2 linked regions of the Tamandua tetradactyla genome follow. The protein of the gene in region 1 interacts with the protein of each later gene in a pairwise test. Links are inferred from orthologs where the notes say so. Each region holds a gene or a part of one and is shown in the gene's direction. Other genes may lie near its edges.

Evidence for each region.
Region 2: the proteins of ADRB2 (region 1) and KCTD13 interact in a protein complementation assay, tested with the Homo sapiens proteins (2 studies listed by BioGRID and IntAct, with this or other methods). The link is inferred for Tamandua tetradactyla from reciprocal best matches to the Homo sapiens genes ADRB2 and KCTD13.

What each region holds. Positions count from the first base shown.
Region 1 is NC_135346.1:29,579,396-29,589,026, forward strand, and holds the start of ADRB2 (beta-2 adrenergic receptor), read left to right. Parts: upstream 1-5,427; 5' UTR 5,428-5,646; coding exon 5,647-6,903; 3' UTR 6,904-9,631. UniProt on the Homo sapiens protein: Beta-adrenergic receptors mediate the catecholamine-induced activation of adenylate cyclase through the action of G proteins. The beta-2-adrenergic receptor binds epinephrine with an approximately 30-fold greater affinity than it does norepinephrine.
Region 2 is NC_135349.1:24,451,193-24,461,121, reverse strand, and holds the start of KCTD13 (BTB/POZ domain-containing adapter for CUL3-mediated RhoA degradation protein 1), read left to right. Parts: upstream 1-5,124; 5' UTR 5,125-5,306; coding exon 5,307-5,556; intron 5,557-6,296; coding exon 6,297-6,466; intron 6,467-9,929. UniProt on the Homo sapiens protein: Substrate-specific adapter of a BCR (BTB-CUL3-RBX1) E3 ubiquitin-protein ligase complex required for synaptic transmission.

The sequences.
Region 1 (9,631 bases):
TTTAGAACAGGTAGGCCCTCAGATATCCTCTACTGTAGCTTCCCATTTCATGGTTGGAGAAATTGAGGCTCAACAAAAGGTGGCATGGGTAAGGTTACTTAGCACGGTATAGCTCGGGGACTAGCATGTAGGTCTCTGATCTCCATCCAGGCTCTCTCCTCTGTCCCAAATCATCTCCATCACCTACAACTCACGGCCATGCCTGAAACAGACTAAGCAACCCCTCTCAGTTTCTGCAAGATCATTCAACACTATTTCTTAAGGTATCCACTACATTGTATGTGGTGATTTACCTTACCTCGTATGTACTATCCTTGGAAGAATTGGGGAAAGCAGTCACTCAAATAATTTTCTGTAACATTTAATCCTCTTGCAGAACCCCAACTGAGAACAGCTGCTGGAATGTATCCCTTTAAATGATTAACTCTCTTCAGGCAAAGAAGACTTCCTATGACCAACTGAAGTCTCTCCTGCTTTAATTTAATGCCGTCTTCCTTTGTTTAATCCCTCTGATGTGTGGAGAATTTATTAACATGTCTCTCATAAAACTCTGGCACAGCAGGAAATTAAATTCACCTAGTATAGTCAGCTGTTCAGAAAGCTTTGCCAGCAGCTCTGCACTATTTTATGGTTGCCAAGGTGATTGTAAATTGATTGTTTGATGACTTATTCTAGCATCATTCCAGGTATTGATGTTAAGTTGAGACATGACAAACCCAAGCGTGAACATAAAAGACCTGTCATATAGTAAAGGAGGACTCTAGATCCAAGCGAACCAGGTATATTTGGACTGGAAATGATTCTTTAAGAGAATCTCCCAAAAACGTAAGGACAGTCTTGGGGAAGAGAGAGGAGACTTGTGTTAAGTGGCCTCAAGGGGGCAGACTTAGGATCCATGGATAGAAGCTATAAGATGATGGGTTTTAGTTTACTACCTAGAGAGCTGGAGAAATATACACCTAAGAAAGAGCTTGGCAAGATGGCTCTGTAAGATTGTTGGTGGATGCATAGCATAAACAGCTGACTAGACTGTGAGACGCTTCATTCAAAAACCACTAACACACCATCCAGCCCTGTAATTCAATGATAATGGTAATTTTTAGAATCATTCTTTTTTCTTTTCCAAGGAGCCAAGTTATATCCCTTTTTCAATTATTTTTCACAGCAATTTAACATAAAATAAATTATTGTTATCCGCTTTCAAAGGGTCCCTCCACAGATATGGCTTGATAAGACAAATAGGTTTTCTTCATATATATTTTGGTTCAAAATAAAATCACAGGGTACACAGGTCGCTCAGTGGTAGAATGCTTGCCTGCCATGCGGGAGACTGGCTTTAATTTACAGCCCATACGCTAAAAAATAAAAATAAAAAATAACAATAATAACTACCTCTTTTGCAAGGACTCATGCTAAGCATTTTATATAATTTTATCTCATTTAATGCAAATTTAATGAGATAATGCATAACAGAGGTGATGTTATGCACAGACATTTAAAACAATCATTTAGAAAGAAATCTACAAATGTTTCTCCTCTCAAAGGATCATAAAGATGGAAGGCATCTGGTCTAAACCAAGACCCAGGATAAGATGTTCCTAAGCCATGCAGTTATGGGAGGGATTCATTGTCTGGCACCACAGAGCTCTACTCCTGATAGGTAAATCAAAATGTGTTGTTACTCTCTGTTAGGCAGGAAGGAAAGGACACATCAGTGTCTTAAGGGACCAACAAAAGTTGTAACTGGACACTATCAATCACCATAAAAGAGCCTGCTTTTTCTTACGTCAAATAAAGGTGCGTTTAGTCTACTAAGAACTTTCAACTGAACCATTAACTGTCTAAAGCCTCAAGCACAAAAAACAGTTATTAGTCAAACTCCTCTGCTGGGAAATGAAACGGCAGCAGCGGGCAAGTGAAACGCATTGGTCAGGAGCAGATCTGGACTCTTAATTTGCCCTCCCACCTTGGACTTCTCCTTTCTGCCTTTCAGTTTCTTCAATTGCAAACAGATGAGAATAAACTAAATTAGTAAACTCTTTGCCATTCCAACTTTTTCTAGTCTCGTGATTCTAAAAGGAATCTAGGAGAAAAGACTCTTGGCGAGAAGACAATATCTTGGAATCGCCTCCAGTTTGGCAATGTAGCAAAGAGACTGTACTCCTAGCAAGACTGATGGGCAAGGCCTGGAACTTCTTAGTTTACATAGCACCTTTCCCTTCTTGATTTAAGTGTTTGTGGATTTTTTTTAAAGGTATTTCCCAAAATATTCAAAGATAAACATTTAAGTGACTTATGTATAAATCTAGATGATCAATTAGTGTTTGTCTTTAGTTTTTATTGATGTTGTTCTTTTTTTGTATCTGAAGGTTAAACACTATGCTTATTTATTCCATAGTTTCACAAACAGGAAGGAGGTTTTAAATGGCTTAGTTCCACAATTCATGGTAGATGAATATTTTAAGAGAACTTGTTGCATAACAGACACTGCCTCTTCCTAAAATGCATCACACCAGAGCCAGTTTTGGAAAACACAAATATGGGGTGGGTATATTTTGAAAACTATGTGAACATAATAGATCCTTAACTAACATTTGTGGCTATTAGGGAAAATATTTGTTTTTTTTTTTCAGGCATCTTTCTTGTCAAACCAGTTTCTACTATTGAAGGAGATTAAAAGGGACATGTAGGTTAAATTTTGCTCCTGGGTTTTACTTCTAGCGTAAACACCAAATTACTTTTGTCCTAAAGGATTTTATTGTTTAGGTACAGGAGACTAACAGTACACGCTAATCTATATCAACTTGATTTATAATCCATATTTGTGTGGCATTTATACGTGCAAAAGCACCCTCGTATTTATTGGTATTATATCATTCGATTCTTACTCAACTCAATGGAAGTGATTTTATTTGCCCCTTTAGAGATGGAGCAAATCAGGCTTCAGCTTTGTGACTTGCCTAAGGACAGTGAGTTAGAAAACTCAATGAATACATGACTCTGGAACCTGACTATCCTAATTCCAATTGCAGTGCTTATTCCCTGTCCTCCATTCCTGTGTGTAATGATGCAGTACATTGAAAAGACTGGAAGATGAGTTTTAGAATCAGTGCGAGAGGCAGGAATCAAATCCTATCTCTCCATGTGCCCCCCACAGGAAAGCTATTTGAGCTTCATTTGTGAATTAAGCTAAAAATAGTAACATCCCCCCACCAATGGACTTTGGAAAGGATTAAATGGAATAATACATGAAAAGCACATAGCAGAATATTCTATAAATGTCAGCTGTTGTTATATTATCATATAATCTACAAAGTATGTTTGGTTACACTGCTTGAAGCACTTTGTTGTTCAAAAACCGTTAATATATGTGAAAATCAAACCCTGAAAATTAATTTATTCTTAGCAGTAACATCATATGTCAGATGCCAAAGGAAAGCATTTCATGTACAAAAGACTTTAGTTTTAAGAGTTGGCATGATTTTTTAAAAAGCAGTTTTACTCACACATCACACAATCCATCCAAAGAGTACAATCGATGGCTGTCACAGAATTGTGCATTCATCACCACAATCAATCTGAGAACATCTTCATTGCTCCAAAAAGAAAAATCCCACCCCCTTATACCTCCCTAATATTAGCAATGGTGACTTAGTTACAACTGATGAAAGAATATTAACTATTAATCCATACTTTGCATTAGTTGTGTTTTCCCCATATACCTCCCTATTATTAACAGCTTGTAGTAGTAATGTAAATTCGTTCTAGTTCATGGGAGAAATTCTTACATATGTACTATTAACATCATCCACAAAAGGGTTCACAGTGTTATACAGTCCCAGGTTTTATCCTCCAGCTTTCCTTCTAGTGGCATACATTACCCTAAACTTCCCCTTTCAAACACAATGACACCTATATTTCAGCACCATTAATTACTTTCACAATAATGTGTCTCCATTGCCTCTGTCATTTTTCAAACATTTACAATCAAGCTTATTAAAAATTCTGCACAAATTAAGCACCAGTTCTCCAGCCTCTACCCTCATTCTATCTCATCGTGGTATGATTATTTTAAAAGAAGATTTATATTTTGCTTTCTATAGTTTCAAATGTATAGAAACTATAGTTTCTAGAGTTTCAAATTTTCTTAATGTTAATACCTTCTAAGTAGTTTGTGCCATATGAAATTACCATTTTTGAACGTAAAAATGGGTAATTAACGGCAATTTCATATGGTTCAACACCACAGATTAACAAATCTGGGGTTGATGAAAGGTTTGTCGTTGTTATTTTGTTTTGTTTTCGTTGCAATGGGGATTCCCAAGTTGACATTGAACTGAAAAGTATCTCAGTTTCAACTTAGGTCCATTCAAACAGGTAATGAGGGAGTGATGCCACACTCCCAAGAATTAAAAACAAAAGCATAAAACTTCCTCCCTCCATCCCAAACACAGGCATGAACACCCCAGCTCCCACGGAAATCCAGAGTGAAATTATGTCTCAATGCCTGCAAATTCCCAAGGAGGGCACCAAAAGGACTTGACAGTGAATGCACTGAGGAAATCGGCAGCTGTTGAAGTCACCTCCTGTGGTCTTGCCAAATGTTTGAAAGGGAATATGGTGTGTGTGTGTGTGTGTGTGTGTGTGTGTGTGTGTGTGTGTGTGTGTGTGTGTGTTTGGGGGTGGAGATGAGGGGAGCGTCATTTATATCTGCTCGGGTTGAGGGGCGTTGGGGAGTTCCTGGACGAGGAGGTCTGTGTCTGCGTGGCTCTGCAAGCCTCCAGGCGAGCGTCTGTGCGTGCTGCCTTCTTTCCCTCCCCGTGCCCGTGCCTTTGTGCCTCTGGGTGAACCTGTGTTTGTTTCTGGCCGCGTCTCTGTTGGACAGGGTGACTTTGTGCCTGTCTGCCTCTGTGCGCGCGCGCGCGCGCGAATGTGCACGTCGGTGCGCTGGACGGGTGTGTCTCGGTGTCTGTGGTTCCGTATAAGTCTGAGCATGTCTGTCAGGGAGCATTTGTGCCTGTATATGCGTGTCTCGGGGGGCGCCCTCACCTCTGTTCCCGCAGGTGCCCGTGCGCTGCCCAGTCCGCACAGGCGCCCGGGACCGACAGGTAACAGCCACACCAGAGCCCAAAGCGCCTGGCTTCGCCGGCGAGCACACCAGCCCCCGCTTTAGCCCCCTGGGACCCGCCCGGGGGAGCCGGGAGGGAGTGATGGGCCCGCCCGCCGGGGAGCAGCTGCGCCCCGCCCGCGCCAACGCCGGGAGCCCGCGAGCTGGGAGGTGGCGGGGGGGGGGGGGCTCGGGGGGGGACGGGGCGGGAACGCGAGGGCTGCCCGCGCGCCATTGGCGGAAAGTTGCCGCGCGTCACCGGGAGGGCAGGTCCCCTAAAGTCCAGTGCACATAACGGGCAGGGCGCACTCTGAGGCGGCTTCTCCAGAGCGCGGGGACGGGACTGACGGGGACGGCGAGCCCAGGGCACCCCACAAAGCTGAGTGTGCAGGACGCGCCCCCGCCAAACCCACCTCACGGCCGCTGAATGAGGCTTCCGGGCGTCCTCCGGTGGCCCGCAGCGCCCCGCCCGGGGTCCGCCCGCTGAGGCGCGGCCGGTGCGCCGGCAGTCAGTGCACTCACCTGCCAGCCTGCGCGCCATGGGGCAACCCGGGAACAACAGCGTCTTCTTGCTGGCGCCCAATGGAAGCCAAGAGCCGGACCACAACGTCACGCAGGAACGGGACGAGGCGTGGGTGGTGGGCATGGGCATCGTGATGTCCCTCATCGTCCTGGCCATCGTGTTTGGGAACGTGTTGGTCATCACAGCCATCGCCAGGTTCGAGCGTCTGCAGACGGTCACCAACTACTTCATCACCTCTCTGGCCTGTGCTGACCTGGTCATGGGCCTGGCGGTGGTGCCTTTCGGGGCCAGCCACATCCTCATGAAAATGTGGACATTTGGCAACTTCTGGTGCGAGTTTTGGACCTCCATCGATGTGTTGTGCGTCACGGCCAGCATTGAGACCCTGTGCGTGATTGCGGTGGACCGCTACTTCGCCATCACCTCACCGTTCAAGTACCAGAGCCTGCTGACCAAGAATAAGGCCCGGGTGGTCATCTTGATGGTGTGGATTGTGTCAGGCCTCACCTCCTTCCTGCCCATCCAGATGCACTGGTACCGGGCCACCCACCGGCAAGCCATCAACTGCTACGCCAAGGAGACCTGCTGTGACTTCTTCACGAACCAAGCCTACGCTATCGCCTCGTCCATTGTGTCCTTCTATTTGCCCTTGGTGGTCATGGTCTTTGTCTACTCCAGGGTCTTCCAAGTGGCCAAAAGGCAGCTCCAGAAGATTGACAAATCCGAAGGCCGCTTCCACGCCCAAAACCTCAGCCAGGTGGAGCAGGATGGGCGGAGTGGCCATGGACATCGCAGGGCCTCCAAGTTCTGCTTGAAGGAACACAAAGCCCTCAAGACTTTAGGTATCATCATGGGCACTTTTACCCTCTGCTGGCTGCCCTTCTTCATCGTCAACATTGTACATGTGATCCAGGACAACCTCATCCCCAAGGAAGTATACATCCTCCTGAACTGGGTGGGCTACGTCAATTCCGCTTTCAATCCCCTCATCTACTGCCGGAGCCCAGATTTCAGGATTGCCTTCCAGGAGCTTCTGTGCCTGCGTAGGGCTTCTCTGAAGGCCTGTGGGAATGGCTACTCCAACAGCTCCAACAGTAAGACTGACTACGCAGGGGAGCAGAGTGGATATAACCTGGGGCAAGAGAAAGAAAGCGAACTGCTGTGCGAGGTCCCCCCAGGCACAGCAGACTTTGGGAGCTGTCAAGGTACTGTGCCTAACGATAGCATTGATTCACAAGGGAGGAATTGTAGTACCAATGACTCACTGCTGTAATGCAGTTTTTCTACTTTTTAAAGGCCCCCCCCAAAAAAAAACACTAAAGAGACTATTTAACTTGAGTGTAATAAATTAGAATAAAATTGTATAGAGAGGTGCAGGAGGAAGGACATCCTTCTGCTTTTTTATTATTATTTTTTTAAACTGTAAAAAAAGAGAAAACATATTCGAGTGATTATTTGTTTCTTGTACAGTTGAGTTCCTCTTTGCATGGAACTTTTAAGTTTATGTCTAAAGGGCTTTCGTCCCAGAGGACCTGGATCTGCTATGTTTTGGCAACTTTTCCGTGTATCTACCTCATTGGCCAAGTATTAGGGGTGAAATATTGCTGCTGGTAATTTGTATCTGAAGGAGACTTTCCTTCCTGCACCCTTGGACTTGAGGATCTTGAGTATCTCGGACCTTTCAGCTGTGAACATGGACTCTCCCCGCTCCTTTTATTTGCTAAACGGGGTATTGTAGGCAGGGATTTGAGGGGCAGCTTCGGTTGTTTTCCTGAGCAAAGTCTAAAGTTTACAGTAAATAAATTGTTTGACCATGACTTCATTGCACCTGTTTCTCCAAAACCCCTTCACAGGAGTGTTATTTTCTCCCCCACTGGAAACCACAGGTAACTATTTGTCATAACTGTTCAGTGACTTAATGCAGAATGATGCAGACTTAATGCAGAATACAAAATGACATGTGCTGATTGCTTAACCCTTTCGTTTGCCTTTGAGTCTGCTGCTGCTGCAAATCTGTATCTCTCCTAGCACTCATGCCCCCAGATCAGTTCTGCATGCTTCTGGCATAACTGGGCTCGTCCTATAATTATTATTCTGTTCTGTTACATCAGAAACACTGAATCATAGACACAGAGTTATGAGTATATGTTTTGTCCCTCCACACCCCCCCACCACCCACCTTCCAGTTCTACTTGTTTAGAAACTGCCTGTATTTATATCTTTGCCGTATCTTATAGTGGAGATCTTTGTACTGCATCAGGACTTGGCATTTTAGGGATGAATAAGGGAGATGTTCTTGAGAAAAAGCTGCTCAAACATAGCCCCATAATTCCAAGAGAAAATAAAAGGGCATTGCTTATAGGTAGAAAAAGCTGAAAAATAGCTGATGAATATCTCATGACTTAGAAATAGGGTTTTAACCCCTTCCCTCCTTCTTTTCTTCTGTCCCCTTGTATAAACCAAGGTTTCTCAGTGCTGGCACTATGGGCACTTTGGGCCAGATAACTCTTTGTCTTCTTTGTGGTGAAGGTGGGGGTGGGGGAGGCTGCCCCATGCACCTTAGTATGTTTAACAGCATCCCTGGCCTTGACCCACTAGATGCCTTAGTCCTGATGACCAAAAAATGTCTCCAGACATTGCCAAATGTGAAATCTTCCCAGGTTGATACCACCAGTATAAACTTTTAAAACACAAACAGATTTTTAGATTCTGTCTATTGTACCACTTTATCTTGGGTGGTTTTTCCCGGTTCACCCAGTTAGTGCTAGGCCCTAGGCCAGTGAGTGGCTCTTTTCCACTATATCGTGCTGCCTTCTGAACTCACTTTCCAGCCCTGCTCCTGAGTGTGAGACACTAAGAAGGACTGTACAGAATCGTTTGGAAGGGTTTATCAGTGTAGGCAAGGGCTGTGGGCCGTTACTGCCTGTTTGTGGAGAGGTTATAGTACTGCTAAGAGGCACAGGAAAGAAAATCACAAAAGTAAACACCTTCCTACCCTCCACCCCCCGTGGCCTCACCCCCACCCCTTTCTATTTTTGCCTGTGTATCTGAGCCAGAGCTTGGCTCAGGTCAGATGGAGTGAATTGTCCTCCCTGGCAACACGAGGCCGCAGGATTCATTGCCATTTCACTCGTAATGAAGCTGACTCCATATCTCTCTTCCTTTCTGTCCCAGCCAAGGTCCCCAACCAGAAAAGCATCAGCCTTCTCTTTCTCGTTAGCTCGGTGACGGAGTGCCTGGATGAACGCTGAGCTCTCAGGAGAATGTCAGGCACCCACGTATTTGGAAGGCACCCGGAAATATTGGAGAGTTTGTGCCCCATTCAGCGCTTTCGCTTTTTCTCTCAGGGTTTTCATACCTATTATCACTTCTTCTCCTGCTCTGAGTCCTATTTTCCTCGTTGCTTCATCTCTAGCTGATTTCATACTCCCCATAGCCTCACAGGGTCTCAGACTTGGAAGCACCCGTAGACAGCATTTGACATCTGAGGAGACCGAATGACCCGCCCAAGGTAAGAAGTCAAGGATGTCCACTAAGCCAGGGCTAACACCAAACAACCTGTGGTTCCAGGAACCGTGTATTCTCCTGATCACATGGTGTTGTGGGATTCTCCTCTCACTCAGTCGGGGAAGTGTTTCCCTGGAAGCTGTAAAGCAACAAGTTCATTTCAGTGGTTGTTTTTTGTTTCTTTAGAGTCCTCAACTCAAAATTCAGGGAATAAACAACCTGAAATGGGGACAACAGAAAGAATTCTTCATTTTATTCAGCAAGAATCCACTAAGATATCCTCTGCATTTAGTGAAGCTAGGAGATCCTTTCATTCTTTATGTCATACCAGAACTGTCAAGCTACTCCAAGTAGAAGTTTTCCATTGTCTTGTTTCAAAAGAAGTTGCAGACTTTTCGGTCATCATTTGTAAGCTCCATGGACAATAAATATTAATAATGCCAGTGTTGTATATATACTCTTTTAGTTAATATAATTTCAGTTTAGTGAACATA
Region 2 (9,929 bases), on another chromosome or scaffold:
TAGGGGGAAGAGACAAGGGGGAGTTAATGCCATGTGAGTATAGGGTCTCTGTTTGGGGTGAAGAGAAATTTCTAGTAATGGATGGTGGTGATGGTACTGCAACACTGTGAATGTGATTAATCCCACTGAATGGTATACTTGGATGGGTTTGGGATGGAAAGTTTTCTGTCTCTATAAAAGAGAGTGAGAGAGCATCAAGGGATTGAGAAAAACCCTAGAATGAGCTGAGACTCAGCATCAAGGGATTGAGAAAAACCCTAGAATGAGCTGAGACTCAGCATCAAGGGATTGAGAAAACCTTCTCCACCAAAAGGGGGAAGAGTGAAATGAGACAAAGTGTCAATGGCTGAGAGATTCCAAACAGAGTCCAGAGGTTATCCTGGAGGTTATTCTTATGCAATAAGTAGATATCACCTTGTTAATCAAGATGTAATGGAGAGGCTGGAGGGAACTGCCTGAAAATGTAGAGCTGTGCTCCAGTAGCCATGTTTCTTGAAGATGTTTGTATAATGATACAGCTTTCACAATATGACTGTGTGATTATGAAAACCTTGTGTCTGATACTCCTTTTATCTACCTTGTCAACAAACGAGTAGAACATATGGAATAAAAATAAATAATAGGGGGAACAAAAAAAGAGAGAGAGTGAGAGAGAGAAAGAAAGAAAGAGAGGAGAGAGGAGGGAGGGAGGGAGGGAATGAGGAAAGGAGGAAGGAAAAACTGACTAAAGCAATAAAGACAATAAAATGCAACACATGATATTGGATGGGATCTAATAATGTAGAAAATGCCCAAAAGGACATGATTGGGACATAAGAAAAAGTTGAAATATATAATGTAACCTTTACATCAATGCTAAATTTTTTTAATATAACTGCACTTAAGGTGATTACATAAAGGAATAGCCTGTATATTCAAGGATTATAGTGCTTGCAACCCACTTTCAAATAGTCCAGAAATAGATTAGATAGATAGAATGATAAGGCACAGGTGGCAAAATGCTGAAATTGATAGATCTGGGTATCTGGGTGGGTGGGGGTATGCTGGATTTCTCTGTATGGAGTTTGTATTATTTTTGCAACTGTCCTATAAATTTGAGATTATTTCACTATAAAAAGTAAACAAAACAAAACAAAACAAAAAACACTGAACAACTCAAATATCCATCAATAGATGACTAGATAAACAAAATGTGGTATAGCCAGAGAATGGAATCTATTATTCAGCCACAAAAAAAATGATATTTGATACATGATTGATACATGCTACAATATCAATGAACCTTGAAAACATTATGCTAAGAGAAAGTAGCCAGTCACAAAATGTTACATATTGTATGATTTCATTTACATGAAACATCTGGAATCCACAGAAACAGAAAGCTGGCTATTGATTGCCAGAGGCTTGGGGGAGGGGGCAATGGTGAGTGACTGCTTAATGGATACAGATTTCCTTTTCTTTTCTTTTTTCCATACCTGAACACTTTGTTGGACACAGCTTAGGAGCCAGGGCCTAGCAGGCCCAGCAGACTGCCCTGCAGGTCCCATGCCAGCAGAGCTCAGGGGTAGGGGGTTGCATCCAGGGAAATCTCAGGGCCGGGGAACCTGGTAAGGCAAAAGTCTACTAAGATTACTATATAGTTGGGAGAGGAGAGCTGCTGCACAGGTCACATCTTTTATTAACAAACATCTAGTGAAGAGAAAAATGACAACTCGAATGCAGCCGCATATACTGAGCACTCCAGGACAAATGGGTGGGGGCACTCAGGGGGCCTGGCGGGGGATGAGTGGATCCAGATGTCCAAGGCCTGCTGTGTGTGTGGTGGGGGGCAAAGGGCAAGGCAAGGCAGGAAGCCTAAGACAATGCACACTAAGACACTGCACATTTGCAAGACCAGCTACTGAGGGGCTGCCCGCCCGGCGGCAATCTGCTTTTTCTGGAATGAATTGGGGGTGGTCTTTACATCTTGTGGCTGGTGGGCTGGGAGAAGAGCTGGGATGAAGGCCACAGCGAGACTGGAGAGGCCACGCTGGCTGGTGCAGAGGAGGGATCAGGATCAAGGATGGGGGCAGCTGGGCCAGGCCCCACACTCCGGCTTCCCCACATTGTCATTGGCAAAGGTACCACCAGGCTGCTCAGCCAGCACCCAGCTAAAGGAAGCTTCGGGTGACAGTTTCCATCAGGGAGCTGGTGAAGCAGAAGGCCTCTTCGCTTCAGGGACGCTCTTGGCCATGCCACAGGTGGCACTCAGGGTGTTGAAGAGCCTGACAGCTGTGGCATCCATGATGGGCTAAAAAGGAGCCCTACTCCAGGTCAGCCTTAGGCTTAGACATGTCTTTGGATGGGACTGGGGCGCGTGTTCAGTGGCTGAGAGGGAGAACAAGTTCAGGTGGGCACCCAGAAGTGGCAAAGTTGACCCTGCCTGGGTTTTCTTTTGGGGTGATGAAAATATCTTGAATCTAGATAGACCTGATGGCCGCACATTTTGAATGTATGAAATGCCACTGAATTGTACACTTTAAAATAGATAATGGTTAATTTTATGTTCTGCGAATTTTACCTCAATTAAAAAAAGAAAAGCTAGCACTGGAAAATCCCCAAAGTATGGATATGAAGATGAATATCTCCTATGTTAAATCAAATAACCTCTTTCTTTGACAAACAAGATCAACAAACTTCTCATGAAGGTTTCTCCCCTTTCTTTGTTCTAAAGTATCTGTCAAATGAACATTTTTCATGTAAAAGTTCTCCAAAATAGCCACTGCGATTCCAAGTCGTCCTTGGTGAACTAAATTGTGCCAGTTAGAAAGTAAAGGCTACAAGTTAATGTAATCGTGAGAAGACATGAAGGAAGGAGGAATTTGGCCCAGTTTTAGGCTGCAACAAAGGTTCATAAGGATGACACTGGTGCAACCTTTATCTCAGGAACTTGGCCAAAGGCCAGTTGTCACTGCTCAGGGGTCAGACAAAACCTCCTGATTCTGAGCAGAAGAAATGAAACAAAACAGTTCTCAGGGCCTCAGACAAAACCGAGGAAAATGTCCTTATAAGGTTTTTGAAATAGTGATCCAAGGCAAAGTTTATCCAAAGGACACTGGTTTGAGGATACCTTTGAAATTTTGTAGCCTCTGGAGCTGATCAGAGGACAGACTTTATTGGCCCTTAGTTGATGGAGCAATTTGTCTGTTTAATTCTGACAATGAATGAGACTCTGGCATGCAACCCCATTCCGTGACCCCTCAGTGGCTGACATCCCCTAACCTCTTAGAGGGAAAAGTGGTATTCAGTCCCCCTGAGATAGAGCAATAATAGCAGGTCTGTGATGCCCTTAGAAGTCCAGGGCTGCTTGCGTGCTAGGCTACCTGGCTCAGTATGTGCCTAAATTTTGCTGGCAGGTTTTTGACTATCCATTCGCTGTAGTTCTTTCCTTTTACGACCAATGTTCAAAATACTAGACAGACCATAGGAGCAGGTATACAGGGTAGAAAACAGTTTCACTAAAGGAAAAATATAAATCTGACCTGATGACAGAAAGTTCAGGGGCACCTGATTCCATGGAAAACAAACAAAATGAATCCAGTGCTTATGGGTCTCAACAAAATATTCAGAGCTCAATTCAGCAGGAACTTACCTTCCAGCTGTGGGGAGGGTGGCCCCTCAAACAGGTAAATAAACAGGGGCTCTTACATGTGCACTCTATTATTTGAGTCGTGAGTTGCAGTCAAAAGCAGTGTGGGCTTCAGCTGACTCTCCCTGGATCCTCCACTTCTGACAATGCCCTCCAGCTAGAAACCACCAGGAACACATCAGTAGTTGAGTAAGAGAGGGTGCACATCATGGGGAACCATGGGACATCTCAGCAAGAAATGTTAGAAGGGACGTATTACAGGAACTGGGCTTGTGTTATATGAGTTTCGAGGAGGATTCAAGAAAGTGGGATTTTGCTTTGAGTTGGATATTGTCAGGAAGTGGGGATAACTATTGGTTCTTAATAATTTTTATCTAGAAGATGGGAGAAATAAATCTGGGCTAAAGCCGTAATTGCTTTAAAAAGCACTGTGGAAAAGGGAAGAAGATTGTGTGTTTGGTCATTTTTGTGGCTTGGACAATGTTTCCACATTTGTGTTCAGACACGTTTAGAGAATGGTCTTTTTCGAGATCCAGAGGGTAGCCTTATGTGATATTGGCGTTGGGTAAAATTTTATATTCACCCATCTGTGAAGGCCAGGCCAGTTCCTAGCAATCCTGAGGCCATGAAGGGAGAGTGCAGACCAGCTCCCAGTTGTCAAGGGCTGCTTTTCTCTTTTACACCAATTACACTTGAAAAATCAGAATTGGCAAGTCCTTTTGGTAAGAACAGGAACTCTAGGTCACCAGAGGCCCCATCATCACTAAACACCTCGTAAGTGCCCTATTTCAGTCATTTACACTCCCATCTGGCTCCGCAGGCATTGAAATTTGCATCCCCTCAACAAGGAGAAAAGGAACCAACCAAGCCTAGAGAGAAATGACCTGCCCGGTGAACTGGTGGAAACTAAAACTCTAACTCTGCTTTTAGTTTCCTTCAGCAAAGCTCCCAGACAGACATTCTGGTAGATTGTTGAGTTCTGCTCCTCCTCACCACGCTTTCTTTTCAACAACGTGTTCTTATTTCTCTTTTGGGGATGGGTGTGCCTTTACAGCCACCAAGTGTCCTGGCATGATCTGGGATGCTAAGAAGTCTGCTCAGTTGTTCCAGTCACCCTGACGTTTTTTTCTGCTCCGCAAATACGCCCAGCTTGTTTCTGCCTGAGGGCTTTTGTGTCCACCCTCTACCTGGAACTCGTCTCTCACACCTCCATCTGGCCCCCTTCTTCTCGGCTTCAGCTCAGCATCACCAAATGAAACCCAGGGAAGCGCTCTCAGTGCAGAGACCCAACCATGGTACATGGACGCCACAGTCCACGTCAGGCGGGAGCATCAGCCCGCCTCGTCGGGATGGTCTTGGGGACTCGCCGGTGGCCCCCGGAACCCGCGCGACTCCGCCGCTGGCTCCAAGACCACTGCGCATGCTCCTTACTCAGGTCCCCTAACCCGCCCCCTCCCCGGTCAGGGGGCGGGCTCTTGACGCGCGTGCGCAGTTGCTCGGCCCCGGCTTTCGGGCCGAGCGGGCGCGATGGGGCTGTGGGTCAGCGTCGCCGAGTAGCGGCGGCGTGTCGGCCTGCCGAGCGAGCGGTCTGACCCGAGGGCCGGGCTCCGGGGTCTTTGGGAGCGGGACGGAGGGCGCGGAGAGAGCCCGGGATTGCCGCCCGCCGCCATCACCCGACATGTCGGCGGAGGCCTCGGGCCCGGCGGCGGCCGCGGCCCCGGCCCCAACCCTAGAAATACCCAAGCCCTCGGGTCTGGAGCCTTGCTCCGCCGCCTACGGTCTCCAGCCGCTGACCCCCAACAGCAAGTACGTGAAGCTGAACGTGGGCGGCTCGCTTCACTACACGACGCTGCGCACCCTCACGGGGCAGGACACCATGCTCAAGGCCATGTTTAGCGGCCGCGTGGAGGTGCTCACCGACGCCGGAGGTACGCGCGCCGCCCCCCGGCCCCTAGCCCCCCAGGTCTCCCCACGCCCCTTCTGTGGTATCAGTGTCGTCAGCTCATTCTCGCTCCTCATCCCATCTCATCTCCCCTTTCTCATTCATCATCTCCCTCCTCCCGCGATCCTTTACCCCTAGCGATTAACAATTTTGTAGCGTCCCGTCCCTAACTCTCCAGGCGCTGTGGTAAGTGATTTAACACTCTCCCACGCTTTACCCCGCAGCTCCAAAAAATGTCCAAGTGGGACACCGAAATGTGGGGGAGATTCAAAGTGGTAGATAAGGATTTTGACAGCAGGAAATAAAAATTTGAGAGGGGAGCTCAACCTTCAACAAGTGTTTGTAAAGTGCTGGGTAGTGCGTTAGTAAAGGAATGTGACAAGACCGCTGCCCCTACGGAGTTCACACTTCCAGGTGGGCGGTGGGCGAGGGGTAACAAGATTGGTTAGATGTTTACTGATAAGATAATTCTTTAAGAACTTTCTCCTGGGATCCCTCCTAACCGCAGACTTGGGAGGTAATTATCTCTTTGTGGCTGGAAATGTTAAAAAGAAGCGTATGGGAATGAAGAAGTTTTAAAGGGGTTTTCTTGGATAAGGCAGAGGTTTGGGGCAGATCAGTCTTCAGACTTTTCTTGTAGCCTTGAAATCCTGTTTTCATCAACAACTTGGTAGCTCCAAGGCCGGCAGCAAAACCATCCTTCCTCCCACCCGTCCCCACCACCAGGTTGGGTGCTGATTGACCGGAGTGGCCGCCACTTTGGCACAATCCTCAACTACCTGCGTGATGGGTCCGTGCCACTGCCTGAGAGCACCAGAGAACTGGGGGAGCTACTGGGTGAAGCACGCTACTACCTGGTTCAAGGCCTGATTGAGGACTGCCAGCTGGCCCTGCAGGTGAGGGCCTCTCCCGGCCTCCTGAGTCCCACTCCTGTGTCCATGTCCCAGGGAGAGCTGCCCTAACAGTTAGATATTAGCACTGAAAAAAAAAAGATGTCAGTTACCTCCTGGAGAGAGAATTTGTCCTCTTCATCCCTGCTGCCTCACATAGTCCTCCTCACCATCTCAGGCAGGACTATTGCAATAGTTAAATGACTGCTCTTTCTGCTGGCTTGCTGTTCCTACTCAGCCATTCCAGCTGATATAGTACCACCCACCCAAGTAATTATCCTTAAGCATAACCCCAATCTGTTCTCTCATTTACTCAGAAATACTAGATAGCTCTCTATTTCACCAAGGGAAAAAATAATTTAATTTAATTTAATTTAGAAGATAATGACCTCCATGATTTTGTCCCGGGAGGCAACTTGGTTTCTTTCTCTCTCTCTCTCTCTCTCTTTTTTCTTTCTTCAAAGAAATGAAATCCTTTCCTCAATGAAATCTCATAGAAGCTGGGCTGTTTCTGATAAAACAGGGTTGAAGGTTCCAGAGCCCTTCCTGTTAGGCTCCACTTCTACCCAACAGTGGCCCTTGAGGCCTCCTGTGGATCTTTTAGGGTTCCAAGGAAGAGTTTGCAAAGCACAGCTGGAACTTAAGGGTTCAATGTCAGCTCTGCCATACCTGCTGACTGACCTTGGTGAATCACTTCCCATCTCTGACATTCTGTCCGCATGTTCCAAAAGATAAGGAATTTGAAAAGAAGTACAGTGTGTAAGTTTTACATAGAGGCTTTTATTCTGTTCTGTTTTTACAATGTTGAAAATGTTCTTTCTTTTATGATACAATAGTAATGGGAGATTATAAGTTTCTTTCTTCCTTTTTTTTTTTTAACATGGGCAGCCTCCGGGAACTGATCCTGGGTCTCTGGCATGACAGGCGAGAACTGTGCCACTGAGCCACTGTTGCCTATAAGTTTCTTTTTTAATGCCCTTACTTTATATATTAAAAAGTGCCAACTGTTATCTTGGGGGATACTTATTGGTTCTTAATTCCAAAGTATACAGTCCCTTTGGACAACAGCTATGCTTTTCAAACTTTTTGATGGCATCCCACAGAAAAAAATAAGACATACATGTACATGACTGAAATGAGAGTTTTATAAAATAGTGCTTACTTTTAGTGAAATGCACCCTGATATATTTTATTCTTTTTTCTTAAATGCTGGTTGGGACCCATTAAACTGATTTCATGACCCGACCCGTTAATGGATTACCAGTTGCAGTTGGAAAACACTGAATTAAATGATCTTGGTGACATATTCCTGCTCTGTAGTTTTGCACACCCACTATGTGTCAGGAGCGATTCTGCTATCTGCTTGACTATACGTTTTATACTTCTGTTTGACATAAAAAGAAACACGAGGCAGGTTGGGTGACACATCTCAGGTCAAAGGGCCAGTAAGTGGCAGAGCTTAGACTCAACCCCAGGTTATCTGACTCCCAAGTGCAGTGCCTTTTCTTTTGTGCTCCAGCTGCCTCTGAGACTCTTCCCATCCCCATCCCACACATCTAGCATTTGCTTGTTTGTTTAGAGGTGGTGTTTTTTATTTAAGATTTAGATATCGAGGATTGAGTTCATCCAGTTCCTCAGTAAATGGCAGTTAATCGTCTTTGGTCCATGCAGATCTTTTGTTTTTATTTTATTTTCCCTTCATGCCAAATCCCCTTCCCTGTTCCTATTCTCCCCATAGACACCCATTCCAATTCTGATGTTTTGATACATATGCTTAGATTATGTTTGTATATATATGCTTAGATTATGTTTGTACTCTTGAGAAGGTGAAGCATTGTTTTGCATATGTATGTGTTTGTGTTTTCAATTTCCATAAATGACATTGAGCTGTGGATTGTGTTCTGTTTCCTAGTTGTTTTTTTTTTTTTTTTTTTTAACATGGGCAGGCCCAGGAATCGAACCCGGGTCCTCTGGCATGGCAGGCAAGTGTCCTTGCCTGCTGAGCCACCGTGGCCCGCCCTCCTAGTTGTTTTTTTTAACTCAACTCTTCAAAATGTATTCATGCTGTTCTTCGCTTCTAGTTCTTCGCTTCTAACTGCTGCCCAGGAATCTATGGTGCACGTTCATCACATTTCACTTATACCTTCCCCTGAGCTTGGAGACCTAGATTGCCTTCCACTTCCCACTCCTGCAAATGGTGGCACAGCAGGTATCTTTGTATATGTCCACTCATGGTCCTATGCCAGGGTTTCTTGTGTTTGTAGATGGGAGTGGAATTACAGGATTGCAGGGCACATACATACTGCGTTTCATTAACTAGCATCATCATATCATTCTCCACATTGGTTGTAGCAGTTTATACTCATCAGCAGTGTATAGGGATCCCATTTCTGCATATCGTTGACAACATAGCATCATCCAGCTTCCTGAATTTGCCAATCTGATGGGTACAGAGTGATCTCATTTTTATTTGCATGCCTGGTTACCCATGAGGTTGAGCATCTTTTCATTTCTGGTTTCTTTCTGTGAACTCCTTACCAAACTTTCTACTAAGTTTCTTGTCTCTTTTTTGTGACTTTGTAGGAGATCTTTGCATATTTTAGTTCGGTCTTTCTTGACCAGGGTTCCTCAGAGAATTAAGCCCTGTTACCCTAAGGCACCCATTGTACATTATAAGTCACCTTTTCTCCTATGCATGGTACAATCTTCATTTGCCAGGCTAGTATGATAAATACCATACGATGGGTTGGCTTAAACAACAAGCATTTATCATCTCACCGTTTGAAAAGCTAGAAATCCAAAATCAAGGCTTCAGCAAGGCCAGACTTTCTCCCCAAAGTCTTTAGCATCCTTGTGCTGTTGTGCATCTCTGCCTGTATCCCATGTCAGTGCCTCTGGTCTTCCCCTAATGGCTATTTTTTACTTCTGGCCTGGCTTTTCTTTTAATAATATAGATTAAGGCCTCCAATAATACAGATTAAGGCCCACCCTCATTCAGTTGGGTCATACCTAAGTAGGATCTTAGAAGATCCTACGCAAAAAGGAGTCCACACCTTAAATGATAATACATCTCCAAAGGATCCTGTTTACAATGGGTTCACACCTACAGGACACAGATTAAGGACATGTCTTTTGTTGGTGTACATGATTTATCTACCACAGGGCCTGTTTACCTAGCATCCTTGGAAGAGCTGGAAAAAAAATAGTCACTCAAATTATTTGCCTCCTTTGAGATTCATTTGAGGAGCCCCTGTTGAGAAAGTCTGTTCTAATAATAATTTCTTGTCAGTTTTAGATGTTGCAGATATTTTCTCTTAGAATGTCATCTGCCACCTGTGATATCTGTTGTTGAATAGAAGTTCTTGATTTTTAAAAAATTGCAAATAACCATTTATCTTTGTTATCTTAAAGTAGTATATATATATGCATTGCAGAAATGTAGAAAACACAGATAATCATATGCAGAAAA